3 linked regions of the Sus scrofa genome follow. The protein of the gene in region 3 purifies or fractionates together with the protein of the main gene of each other region. This does not show direct contact. Links are inferred from orthologs where the notes say so. Each region holds a gene or a part of one and is shown on either strand. Other genes may lie near its edges.

Region 1 (3,647 bases), on a different chromosome or scaffold from region 3:
ATTTCACAGGCCCCTTCGCGGGCTGTGCTGGAGCTGCTGGGGTCAAAGAAGCCTGTGTGCAACTGTTTATAACAGGAAGGGTTAAATGAGATACTATAATGGTAAAACATGGAGTCGAACACACTGGAACACCGTGCAGTCAGGGCTGTGGGTGGTGCCTGGCCATCCGGGGATGGCCCTGGGGAGACGAAGCAGCTGCAAGGGGCGTGCACACCGTCTCCCACCGGGCAGGAGGGTTCCACTTTCCTCACTCTTCCTTCAGTACCGAAGTGACACCCTTTTACTGCAGCATTGTTTTTATGAGGAAGAGGTTGTGAGCAGAGGCTTTTGGTCCCCCCAACTAACCGTGCTCCTCAACCCAGGTGCTGGGCCCTTGTGGGAGTGGGGCCCTGGGCAGGACAGACCACACTCCTGCATCTTCCCGGGGGCTTCATTTTTCCAAAAAAAAAAAAAAAACAAAAAAAACAAGTTTTTTTTGTTTTTTTTTGGAGGGGGTTGTGCATATTTATGTTAACAGTAAAACTGGGAGACTTCAGCCAAGTTCTCTGTTGGGGCACCATCTCTGGGCTTTGCGTTCAGCTCCTCCGGGAAGATGTTAGGAGAGGGAGCAGGTGGGAGAGGCTCAAAACCCGAGGGCACTGTCTCCCGGGGACCAGGATCCCGGAGGGCAGCCACCAGCTGAGTGTTTACTGGGCCTCTCTGCACCTCATTGCCCATGACCTCAGGCACCGGCTCAGCTCTGTTCTGCACATAAGGAGACTGAGGCTCACGGAATGGGAGTAAGTGGCCCAGGCCCTGCGGTCACAGGGAGGGCAGGTCCTGAGGCCAGCCTGCTTCCTGACCCCCAGGCCCCGTGCCCCACCTACCGTGTTGATCTTCCTGGGCAGCGGCACAGGTGTCTCGGGCAGGGTGGGCGTCAGGTCATTGGCGTCTTCGGACGCTTGCTTCTGGATGTTTGGGGACAGGTCTGCCGGGTGTGACTTGGGGGTGAGCTCCAGGGGCTGAGCCTTGGGCGAGGCGTCTCCCGCCGGGGGTTTGGCCAGCAGGTCTCCCAGCTGCGGCTTGGGCGGCAGGTCCTTCATCTGCGGCTTGGGCGGCAAGTCTGAGAGCTGTGGCTTGGGGGGCAGGTCACCCAGCTGCGGCTTGGGGGGCAGCTCTCCTGGCTTAGGTGGCAAGTCTCCAATTTGGGGTTTGGGAGCCAGTTCCGTGGGCTTCGGGGGTAGGTCTCCAGGTGGTGGCTTCAGGGGTAACTCTGCCAACTGGGATGATTTCTGGAAGATTTCGGGCGGGACGCCGGCTTTGTCGAGGGAGAGATGATGGCTGGTTTCTGTTTTCCTTAATGCCACTGCAGGAAACAACCAGAAAGAGGGGTCACTGGATGGGGGATGCCCTGCCTTCCTCCCCCTTCAGGGTCACACAGAGGGGACCCCACCCAGAGGGAGCGCCGTGCAGGCACACGGAGGCCTGTTTGCAAACAGGTCAAGAGCTGGAAGCCTGGGAGGTAAACACATTACAACAGAAGATTTTAAGTCTCCATTATACAAGAACAGGATGTCCAAATTTTTAATCCAGAATTGAAAAAAAAAGAAAAAGCAAAAACCCCACAACTATACACACAAAACAGATTACAAAAAAAATGAAAAGTATAATTAAAGTTTTCCATAAGCCTACTGCCTAAATGTAGCCATTTCAAGTATTTTGATGTATTTCCTTCTGGACTTTTCTATATATTTTGCACAAATAAAACAGTTATCTGCTTTTATCTATACACTGTTTTAGCAAGAATATTTGCATATTAATAAAATTCTTTTTTTCTTAGGGCTGTACCCAGGGCATACGGAAGTTCCCAAGCTACGGGTTGAATCAGAGCTGTAGCTGCCGGCCTACACCACAGCCACAGCAGTGCCAGGTACGAGCCGCCATCTGTGACCTACACTGCAGCTGGTAGCAATGCTGGATCCTTGAACTCACTGAGTGAGGTCAGGAATTAAACCTGAATCCTCATGGATACCAGCTGGTTCACTATCGCTGAGCTACAATGGAAACTCCCTGAACTGCATTAACTCTGAAGGGCAGACAAGCAAGCTTCCCCCCAGAGCTGGATGACACCAAGCAGCACGCTGCCAGAGTGAGGCACACCACCAATAAAAAAGGAGTGAGAATTCCGGCCCCTCCCCAGTCCCCGGAGGTTATGGTGCAGCTGGATCAACAGGCAGGACAGGTGAGACAAGTGGACTCGGTCCTCTGAGAAGCTTTGGGGCACAGAATGGGGCCTGCCGAGAAGGCCCTCCCTTCGGCTGCAGTGGTTCTGCTCCTGAAAATGGACTCTACGGACAGAACCGAGGAGGAGGCAGAGAAGGACTCGCAGCACACATTTCCAATAAAAGGGGGTGCCAAGGCCAGGGATGGCGCCCAATTAGCCAAAGAGCAAGGGGCCTGACGACATTCACAAAGAGCTCACGAACACGTGAGAAATACGCATGTTGAAACCTATGATGCAGAACCGTGCTTTCACCATGATGACAGATGCAGAAGAATGTAAGGGACCAGTGAGCTGGGTCGCAGCGCAGAACCATGGAGACGCTGTTCAGGTTGAAAGATCCCTTGAAGTTCCTATAATATTTCTTTTTTTTTTTTTTTTGATTTTAATTCTTATGTCCCCAATACAATTTTTTCCCCCTACTGTACAGCATGGTGATCCAGGTACACATACATTCTCTCACATTATCATGCTCCGTAAGTGACTAGACATTTTTTAAAAAAATTCAATATTTCCTTTTAAAACTCACTTAAAAAAAGGGTTCTGTGCTGCTGATCCCTAGATGAGAAGGCTTTAATTAAGCCTTTTAAGAGGTGCCCAAAGGAGCTCAAAAACGGGTGATGTTTGGGAGGGAGAAGGAGTGGAATGTGGCCAGGACAGTCCACGTGAGAGTCCTGCTGGTGGCAGGTGCTGCGGAGGGGTGGGGGGGAGGGCAGGGCAGGGCAGGAGCACTGGCCCTCTCAGCATCCCCGATGCCTTCTGCTGCCAGCTGAGGCGGCTCAGAAATATACCTTGTTTTTCAGGGAACCACTGGCTGGATGGGCCAGGAGTGACCTGATGTAACATGGATGACCCTGGCTGTTCTGTTGGGGACAGGCTGTGGAGCCCGGGGAGAAGCAGGCAGTCTAGACGTGCACTGTAAAAATCCAGACGAGGGGGAGTTCCCGTCGTGGCGCAGTGGTTAACGAATCCGACTAGGAACCATGAGGTTGCGGGTTCGGTCCCTGCCCTTGCTCAGTGGGTTAACGATCCGGTGTTGCCGTGAGCTGTGGTGTAGGTTGCAGACGCGGCTCAGATCCCGCGTTGCTGTGGCTCTGGCGTAGGCCGGTGGCTACAGCTCCGATTGGACCCCTAGCCTGGGAACCTCCATATGCCGCAGGAGCGGCCCAAGAAATAGCAACAACAACAACAACAACAACAAAAAGACAAAAAAAAAAAAAAGAATCCAGACGAGGGAGGACGGTCCCCGGGGCCACAGTGAGCGGAGGACACAGTGAGAAGCGCCTGGACATTAGGGTGGAGGGAGAAGCCAGTGTGGAAGCTCATGTGAGAAAGGAAGGGGTTGGGCTTCTCCCTTAGGGTTTAAGGCCCAAGCCCTGCACTGGGC
Region 2 (4,091 bases), on a different chromosome or scaffold from region 3:
AGTCATGCACTTAGCTACTCCAAAGGAGGCCAGAAGCCTAACACTTTCAGAGAGGCATCTGCTGGACTTGTTTTTCCACATAAACTGCCAAACTTGTTTTGATTAGGCAGGAAGTGAAGCAACTTTTTAGGGAGAGAGCCGGGCATCTGCATTTCGTCAGTGGATCCATTTTGACCTTTTACCTTTTACCTTCTTGGGAGCCTGGGCCGAGTTTTGCTTTTCAATTTAGAAGAGCAGGATGGCCACATTTTTTTTTTCTTACAGTGTGGTTTCCTTAGAGTCCAAACCCAAAGTTTTATTTTTTTACATCAGTGCACCTGTCTTGATTTTCCAAATAACTTACATTACCTTAAAACAAGGAAAAAAAAATTTTGGGGCTGTGCCCTTGGCATGGGATAGGGACAGAGCCACAGCAATGACAATGCCAGATCCTTAACTTGCTGTGCCACTCTGAGAACTCCCCAAATAAGATTTTATTTATTGTGCACATTTCTTCGTATAGAGGACTCTAAAACAAATAAATGTACTGAGTTGAATTTGATGAATCCTGCCTGATAAGTATTTGTAACCTATTTTTCAAAAAAAAGCCTTTTAAAAGCTAGTGATGAGAGAGGAGTTTCCATCTCTTTATTAGAGTTGTTGGAAATGTGCCAAAGAGATAACCTGGCGTATATTTCCCTCAAAAATCATGTTTTATTCTTTAACATGAACATCTTATACCCTCGGAATTCGGGGAATTGTTGAGCTGAAAAACCTGGGGTACAGTGCCCTGTGTTGCCAGCCTCTAGGCAAGACAGCAAAAACTTCGGGGTTTCCCGGGTTCTTCCTTTCGGAAGAGAACCGAGGAGGGGGCGCTGCAAAAGTCTCCAAAAAGCATTCTTACAGGATCTCTAATGGGAGAACCTGCTGACTAACTCGCCACCCCACACTTACCGCTGCAAGCAAACTTGCAGCGCTTCCCTCGCACGCGCGGGGCGGGAGCGGGACCTGAGGCCCTGTGCATGCCGCGGAGCGAACCATCCGGCCGGCCGGAGAGGGGGGAGGTTCGGACGTGGGGGGCGCGGTAAGCTGGGGCCTCGGTGTCTGCCTGTTGCCTCCACCCTCTTCCGTCCCTGGCGGGGAGTCGCGCGAGCCCGAACCCTCGGTGGGGACTTGAGGGGCGCGGCGCTGGCAAGCCTTCCCCCGGGCCGCGCGGGGGTGGTAGCGGCCCTTTTCAGAGTTTCCCGGGCCGGCGGCCGGCGCAGAGGCGCTGCCTGCGGCCGGGGGCGGGCGGACGCCGCAGCCGCCGCGGCCGCGGGAGGAGGGACAAAGGGGTGGGTCCCCGTGGGGCCGTCACCCAGGCAAAACGCGGCTGACGGACTGAGAACTGACCTGCCGCCCGGAGTATCAGGAGGAGCGGGGCTCGGGACTGGTGCGTCCATGAGAGACCCGCGCCCGAAAATGCCGGTGCGAGGAGATCGCGGGTTTCCACCCAGGCGGGAGATGTCAAGTTGGCTCCATGTAAGTGCCGTCTGGCGTCCCGCTCGGTTGGGAGAAGGGTCGCGAGGAGAGAGCTTAGGAGCGCGTGGTGGGCTTCCCGGATGCGCTGTAGGTGGCTGGGATTCTTCCATCCGGAGGTGGAGTTGAGGGCAGGGAGTAGGTTTCGCCGGCAGAGGTGCTGGGTCAGGGCCTCCAGGATTCCTGAATCTTTTTCTCTGTTCTATGAAGTCACTTGGTTTTCAGTCGCGAGTAGGGGAAACTCTCTTGAACTCTGTTTTGGATCCCTGCTACCTTTGAGGCATCTCGTTGAGCTTGTTATGTCGCCTGTTGTTTGCTTTTGAGTTTTCCTTCTTAGTTTCAAACCAGTTATTCTGTAATTGATGCAAAGTTAGAGCATGTGTGCATGAGACGAACTGACGACTCTTTGGAGATGGGAATCCTCATTTTCCCTTTCAATCTCTTTTAGTCGGCAGTATAAGTAAAAGTTATTTGTGGCAGGGAATGGAGATAGGGTTTTGGAGGACCCCCCAAAAAGGGAGTGATGAATACTTTGTATTCTGGTATTATCTTACCTGTCACCAGTTCCTTTTCTTTTATGTTTTCATTTGTCAAGTTTCTGCTTTACACAGTAGTTTAAGTTATAAATAATCAGGGTTTTGCCTACAGGGTTTTAACATTCTTGAAACGTGGATGAACTTGGGAGTGAATACTCCAGGGCTTAGTAATGGAATACAACCCTCCCACCTCTATTTTAGCTTCAATTCCGAGGCAGTGCTGCTTCCTTGGCAGCTGTCTGGCCTGAGTAATGGTTGTGGTTTTCCAGCAGTTCCCAGTGGAGTCTCATCCCGTGGTAGAAACTGCCCTCCCTTCTTCAGCTAGGGGAATCCCATCACAGAAGGAAAGCGGCCCTTTTCCTTCAGATCTTTAGATGGTCTGTGCTGGAGGTGCTGAAGGTCATGCTGGGAGAACAGGGTCATTTTTGTCAGGATTCTTCCTGGGAAAGACAGTCTACATGCATACGTGGGAAGCAGATGGTTTTCATTTTAATTGAGGAGTTAGTAGTAGTGATTGCTTTTGCGCCAAAGTGCCAATTATTATCCTGCCTAAAACAATGAAATTGGTTGTTTAATACATTTTTATGAGCACCTTCATCTCAGTGTGGAAAATAGAAATGTTAAGAGTGTGCTTCTACCAACCACACTGTCTTGTTGGGGAAACCTGTAAATGATGAAGACTGATAGTTCCAGTTAGAAATAGGGACAGGATGCTGGAGTTGCTTCTCTCTGGGGAGCTGAGAGAAAGGAGTGTTTTACTAAGGCAGTGGTGGCTTTTGAGTTGTATCTTGAGCTTTTTCAGAGCTACTGCCAAAGATTGATGAAGGGGGATCCCCCCCCCCAGAATGGCTGCTGCAACTTTTTTAGGACCGCGAAGTTAATAAATTAATGAGCACCCACCTGTGCCCGGCCACTGTTGGGGAGGTGGGGGTGTGAGGTGAGTAAGACTCAACTTCAAGAGTCTGTTTGATCTGAAAATTTTAGATGTTTTTTGGACTGCAGGCTCTCTCTGCTGTGGCTAAAGGAGGGAGTGTGCTGCACAGATGCACACTGTGCAGTACAAAAATACAACAAAGTGTGGGGTCTTCCTGTGCACACTCCCTTCAGGGATTCTTTTTTTTTTTTTGTCTTTTTGCCATTTCTAGGGCCGCTCCAGCGGCATATGGAGGTTCCCAGGCTAGGGGTCCAATCGGAGATGTAGCTGCCAGCCTACGCCTGAGCCACAGAAACACAGGAGCCAAGCCGTGTCTGCGACCTACACCACAGCTCATGGCAACGCCGGATTGTTAACCCACTGAGCAAGGGCAGGGATCGAACCCACAACCTCATGGTACCTAGTCAGATTCGTTAACCACTGCGCTGTGACGGGAACTCCCCTTCAGGGATTCTTATTAGGAAGAAAGTTCAGGAGTTCCCGTCCTGGACCAGTGGAAATGAATCCGACTAGGAACCATGAGGTTGCAGGTTCAATCCCTGGCCTCGCTCAGTGGGTTAAAGATCCGGAGTTGCTGTGAGCTGTGGTGTAGGTTGCAGATGCAGCACAGATCTGGAGTTGCTTTGGCTGTGTAGGCCGGCAGCTACAGCTCTGATTAGACCCCTACCTAGCCTGGGAACCTCTAGACGCCATGGGTGTGGCCCTAAAAAGACAAAAAAAAAAAAAAAAGTTCACTATTTGAACAGATACCTCACAGGGTAAGCCAATATAGAAGATGAGGTTAACAACACACCTCACAGAGTTGAATGAGGATTGAGTGAAATGACGTAGGGAGCTTGGCCTGTAGTGGGTGCTAAGTAAACAGTAGCTGGTACAGTCATCCCACGGTGTCCTGGGGCAGGGGAGGTTCCAAGATTCCTCTAGGATACCAGAAACCTAGGATACTTAAGTTCTTTATCTAAAATGGCATAGTGGCAGTTCCTCTCGTAGCTCAGCAGAAGCGAATCTTACTAGCATCCATGAGGATGAAGGTTTGATCCCTGGCCTCACTCAGTGGGTTAAGGATCTGACATTGCCATGGGCTGTGGTGTGGGTCGCAGATGCAGCTCAAATCTGGCGTTGCA
Region 3 (3,647 bases):
ATCCAAGCCTCAAGAAGCTCTGCAGGGAGTTCCCATTGTGGCTCACCAGTAGTGAACCTGACTAGTATGCATGAGGATGCAGGTTCGATCCCTGGCCTCGATCAGTGAGTTAAGAATGCAGCATTGCTGCGAGTTGTGCGGTGGGTCGCAGATGCGGCTCTGATCCCGCATTGCTGTGGTTGTGGTGTAGGCCGGCAGCTATAGCTATGATTCGACCCCTAGTCTTGGAACTTCCATATGCCAAGGGTGTGGTCCGAAAAAGACCAAAAAAAAAAAAAAAAAAAAAAAAAAAAAAAAAGCAGCAGCAGCAGCAGGAGCTCTACAGTCCCTACTCTGGCCATTTTAGAACTGACATGTGAAGACTGGGGTCACCTCCTTGAGGAAAAAAGATCCAGTGAGAAGGAGCCCAGCCAAGAGCTGGCACCAACAGTGGACATGGGAACGAGGCCATCCGGCCCCTCACGCTGCTGGACAACTGAAGCCCCATGAACAGCACCGCATGAGGTCAGAAGAACCACTCGGCTCAGCACAGGCCAAATTGAGCCAACAAATGGTTCTCTCCTCAGGCAGCAACAAGTAACTGACAGAGGACTGTGTATGACTGTGGATGGTCTTTTATGACAAATGGAAATGTCTGAATTTGTTTTTTAATATTAAATTTTGTTGGTAAAGGGGACCACATCCTTTTATTGTTGCTGGGGAAAGCAAGACTTGTGGAACAAAGGCAGGTAAGATATAATCTGAGATCCGAAGCCAAGCTTTCTTCCTTGAATTATGATACAAACTGACTTTATGACTAACTTGGCCTTAACGAGTCATACTAGAAGACAATTTCCCAAAATAATTCAATATAAAACATACAATCACTATGGTTAAGAATGTGAACTACACTTAGAAAAAAAATTACCTCAAATACGTTCTTCTTGCTGGATTTATCCTTTGATGCCATCTCAATTGTTGCCCCTCTGAGGTCCACTGTGAACTCTGGTTTGGACTGATTACTCCCAAACTTCATTTGAGAAAAAAGGAAAAACGTTTTTGTTACATTCATGCACATATGTGTATCCAAAAAGAATTAAGACCAATTTTATATTATTAGTAATAACTCAAACAGGTGATCACCTAGAATGCTTCCTTTCCCTTTTTTTTTTTTTTTCTTTTTTGCTTTTTAGGGCTGCACCAGTGGCATACAGAGGTTCCCAGGCTAGGGTCCAATCAGAGCTACAGCTGCTGGCCTACGCCACAGGTGCAGCAATGCAGGATCCAAGGCACATTTGCAATCTACACCAGAGCTCAAGGCAGTGCCAGATCCTTAACCCACTGAGCGAGGCCAGGGATCAAACTCGAATCTTCATGGATCCTAGTCGGGTTCGTTAACCTCTGAGCCACAACGGGAACTCCGCTTCCTCTCTTTTTATATTACAAAATAACAATTCCTATTTTAAGTTGAAAACTGTCTGTAAGACATGATTGTATACAGTTCATAGAAAAGGAAACAAAATGGCTCAGAACCCATCATTATTTTAAAAAATACAAACTAAAGCAGTACTAAAATCTTTTTTCCCCCATTAGTGCAACAACAACAATAAAGTTTGCTGAAAAACTCTCTTGGTGAGGCTGTAGAGTAATAGGCCCTCATTTGCAAGTGGGGTATAAACTGGTATGCCAAGAGAGGAAAAAATTGGTAATACTTTATTTTTTAATTTTATATTATTTTTTAGGGCCACACGTGTAGCATATGGAAGTTCCCAGGCTAGGAGTCGATTCAGAGCTGCAGCTGCCAGCCTACACCACAGCCATGAAAGATCCGAGCCTTGTCTGCGACCTACACCGAAGCTCACAGAAACACTGGATCCTTAACCCACTGAGCGGGGCCAGGGATTGAACCCAGGATACTAGTCAGGTTACCTGCTGAGCCACAACGGGAACTCCCTGGCAATAACTTTATTTACAAATGTATCAACACATGTATTCTTTGGTTCTGCAATTCTATTCTTTGGAATTTATTCTAAACTACCTAGGACTATGTCAAATGATATGTCAAAAGGCAATATTCTTACATATGTATAAATAATACCTGATAGAATTTTTTTCCACCTAATAAACATTCTCTAAACCTGATTTTGTGCTTTCAAGAGTTATTTCCTTATTGACAATTTAAGTTGTCAACAACTAACAATAACTTGTAAAAACAAAATTCTAACCCCCAGGTTCTTTTATTCAGCTTTTGTTAGAAATAAAAATGAGAGCCAGATGCTCTAAAGCCTCAGCAATTTAATGAGGAACTGTGATAACAACAGGAAGACAGTTGACAAGGGTGGTTTGAGAAGAAAAAGCACTTAGTTAGCTATTATATCTTGTTAGCCAGATAAGGAAAAATTAGCATATGGCAGAAAACTTATGTTAAATGTAGACTTACTCCATATCTTGCCATTATAACTTAAAATTTTATTTAGTCTGTTTGCTGAGAAAATAAGTATTCCCAATGTTATTGTAGGGTCAGGAGGTTTAAAATCTTTATGAGCTGATAAATTGTAATCTTTAAGGTCATAAAGATTTGATACCGGAAATTTCATTTGCCAAAATATTTTCAAGTCAAATTCTGTTTGCCATTGGAAATGGATCCTACCCATTGAGATAAATTATTCATTATTCATAATGTCAAGGACTACTCCACAGTTTCACATTTAATAAATGGTTCAACTTGATCTGTTCCTTTTAATTCATCTTTTTGGCTAGCAGTGTAAACTTACATAATATACTTGTTATAACTTAGGATATTATGTGGAATTTATTACTGGAATCGAAATCAAATTTAGGATATTCCAGGAATTTTATTAGTGGAATCATAATAAAAATAATAATAAAAATTTTAACAATTCTACAAAGCCTTTGCCATCTTTAGTACCTTTTGCCATTTAAAAGACACGTAATTCATCATAAAGCTATGATAAGCACAGATAACTTTCTGAGCCAATTTACTCCAAAGTTATAAAATTTCAATGGATACATTTAACAAAATGATAAAAATCAATTTAATTTTTCATGACATGCTCTGGAGATGGTTAGCTATAAAGCTAAGCTATCAGTGACCAACCAATAAATTATAGCAACCAAATACAAATACAATGACGTGACATGGAATGCTAGTAAAAATGCTTCAATATGGCTGGCAAAATTCTGTGTTTGTTATCCATTATTTCTGAAAATCTAGTCCTGCTTTTCTCCATGTAATCATCACTTTGATGCATTCACAGCAAAGAAAACAGAATTACTGTGACAAAGGACATGCAACAAGAACACATACAGTGACAGCGGAAACAGGATCAGATTTTACATATGCGACAGCAGGCCGGCGGCTGACAGAGTTTTTCCAAGAAGAAAGCAGCGAGAGCAGGAGCTCAGAGACTGAGCCCTGATGGCAGAATGACTTGATGGGAAAAGGGAAGAAAATGACGATGTCATTATAGTGCACAATGGCAACATGACATACATGAGAAAACCATAATGGAACCAGATAGGACAACACAACTGCAAGCCACACAACACAGGCAAAGCTGAATTTCCACAATCTTTTCCAAAGGCCCCAGAATTTACTTCAGAGTATTTTCTGATGCTGTTATTAGGTAAATTCATGTTTTATTTTT

The links.
Region 1: the proteins of ARHGAP12 (region 3) and ASAP1 purify together in Homo sapiens (co-immunoprecipitation; 3 studies listed by BioGRID and IntAct, with this or other methods). This does not show direct contact. The link is inferred for Sus scrofa from reciprocal best matches to the Homo sapiens genes ARHGAP12 and ASAP1.
Region 2: the proteins of ARHGAP12 (region 3) and TJP2 purify together in Homo sapiens (co-immunoprecipitation; 3 studies listed by BioGRID and IntAct, with this or other methods). This does not show direct contact. The link is inferred for Sus scrofa from reciprocal best matches to the Homo sapiens genes ARHGAP12 and TJP2.

The regions. Positions count from the first base shown.
Region 1 is NC_010446.5:10,442,809-10,446,455, reverse strand, and holds part of ASAP1 (arf-GAP with SH3 domain, ANK repeat and PH domain-containing protein 1), read right to left. Parts: intron 1,346-3,647; coding exon 867-1,345; intron 1-866. UniProt on the Homo sapiens protein: Possesses phosphatidylinositol 4,5-bisphosphate-dependent GTPase-activating protein activity for ARF1 (ADP ribosylation factor 1) and ARF5 and a lesser activity towards ARF6.
Region 2 is NC_010443.5:222,523,507-222,527,597, forward strand, and holds the start of TJP2 (tight junction protein ZO-2), read left to right. Parts: upstream 1-1,245; 5' UTR 1,246-1,419; coding exon 1,420-1,500; intron 1,501-4,091. UniProt on the Homo sapiens protein: Plays a role in tight junctions and adherens junctions. Acts as a positive regulator of RANKL-induced osteoclast differentiation, potentially via mediating downstream transcriptional activity.
Region 3 is NC_010452.4:42,472,703-42,476,349, forward strand, and holds part of ARHGAP12 (rho GTPase-activating protein 12), read right to left. Parts: intron 3,431-3,647; coding exon 3,308-3,430; intron 1,010-3,307; coding exon 908-1,009; intron 1-907. UniProt on the Homo sapiens protein: GTPase activator for the Rho-type GTPases by converting them to an inactive GDP-bound state.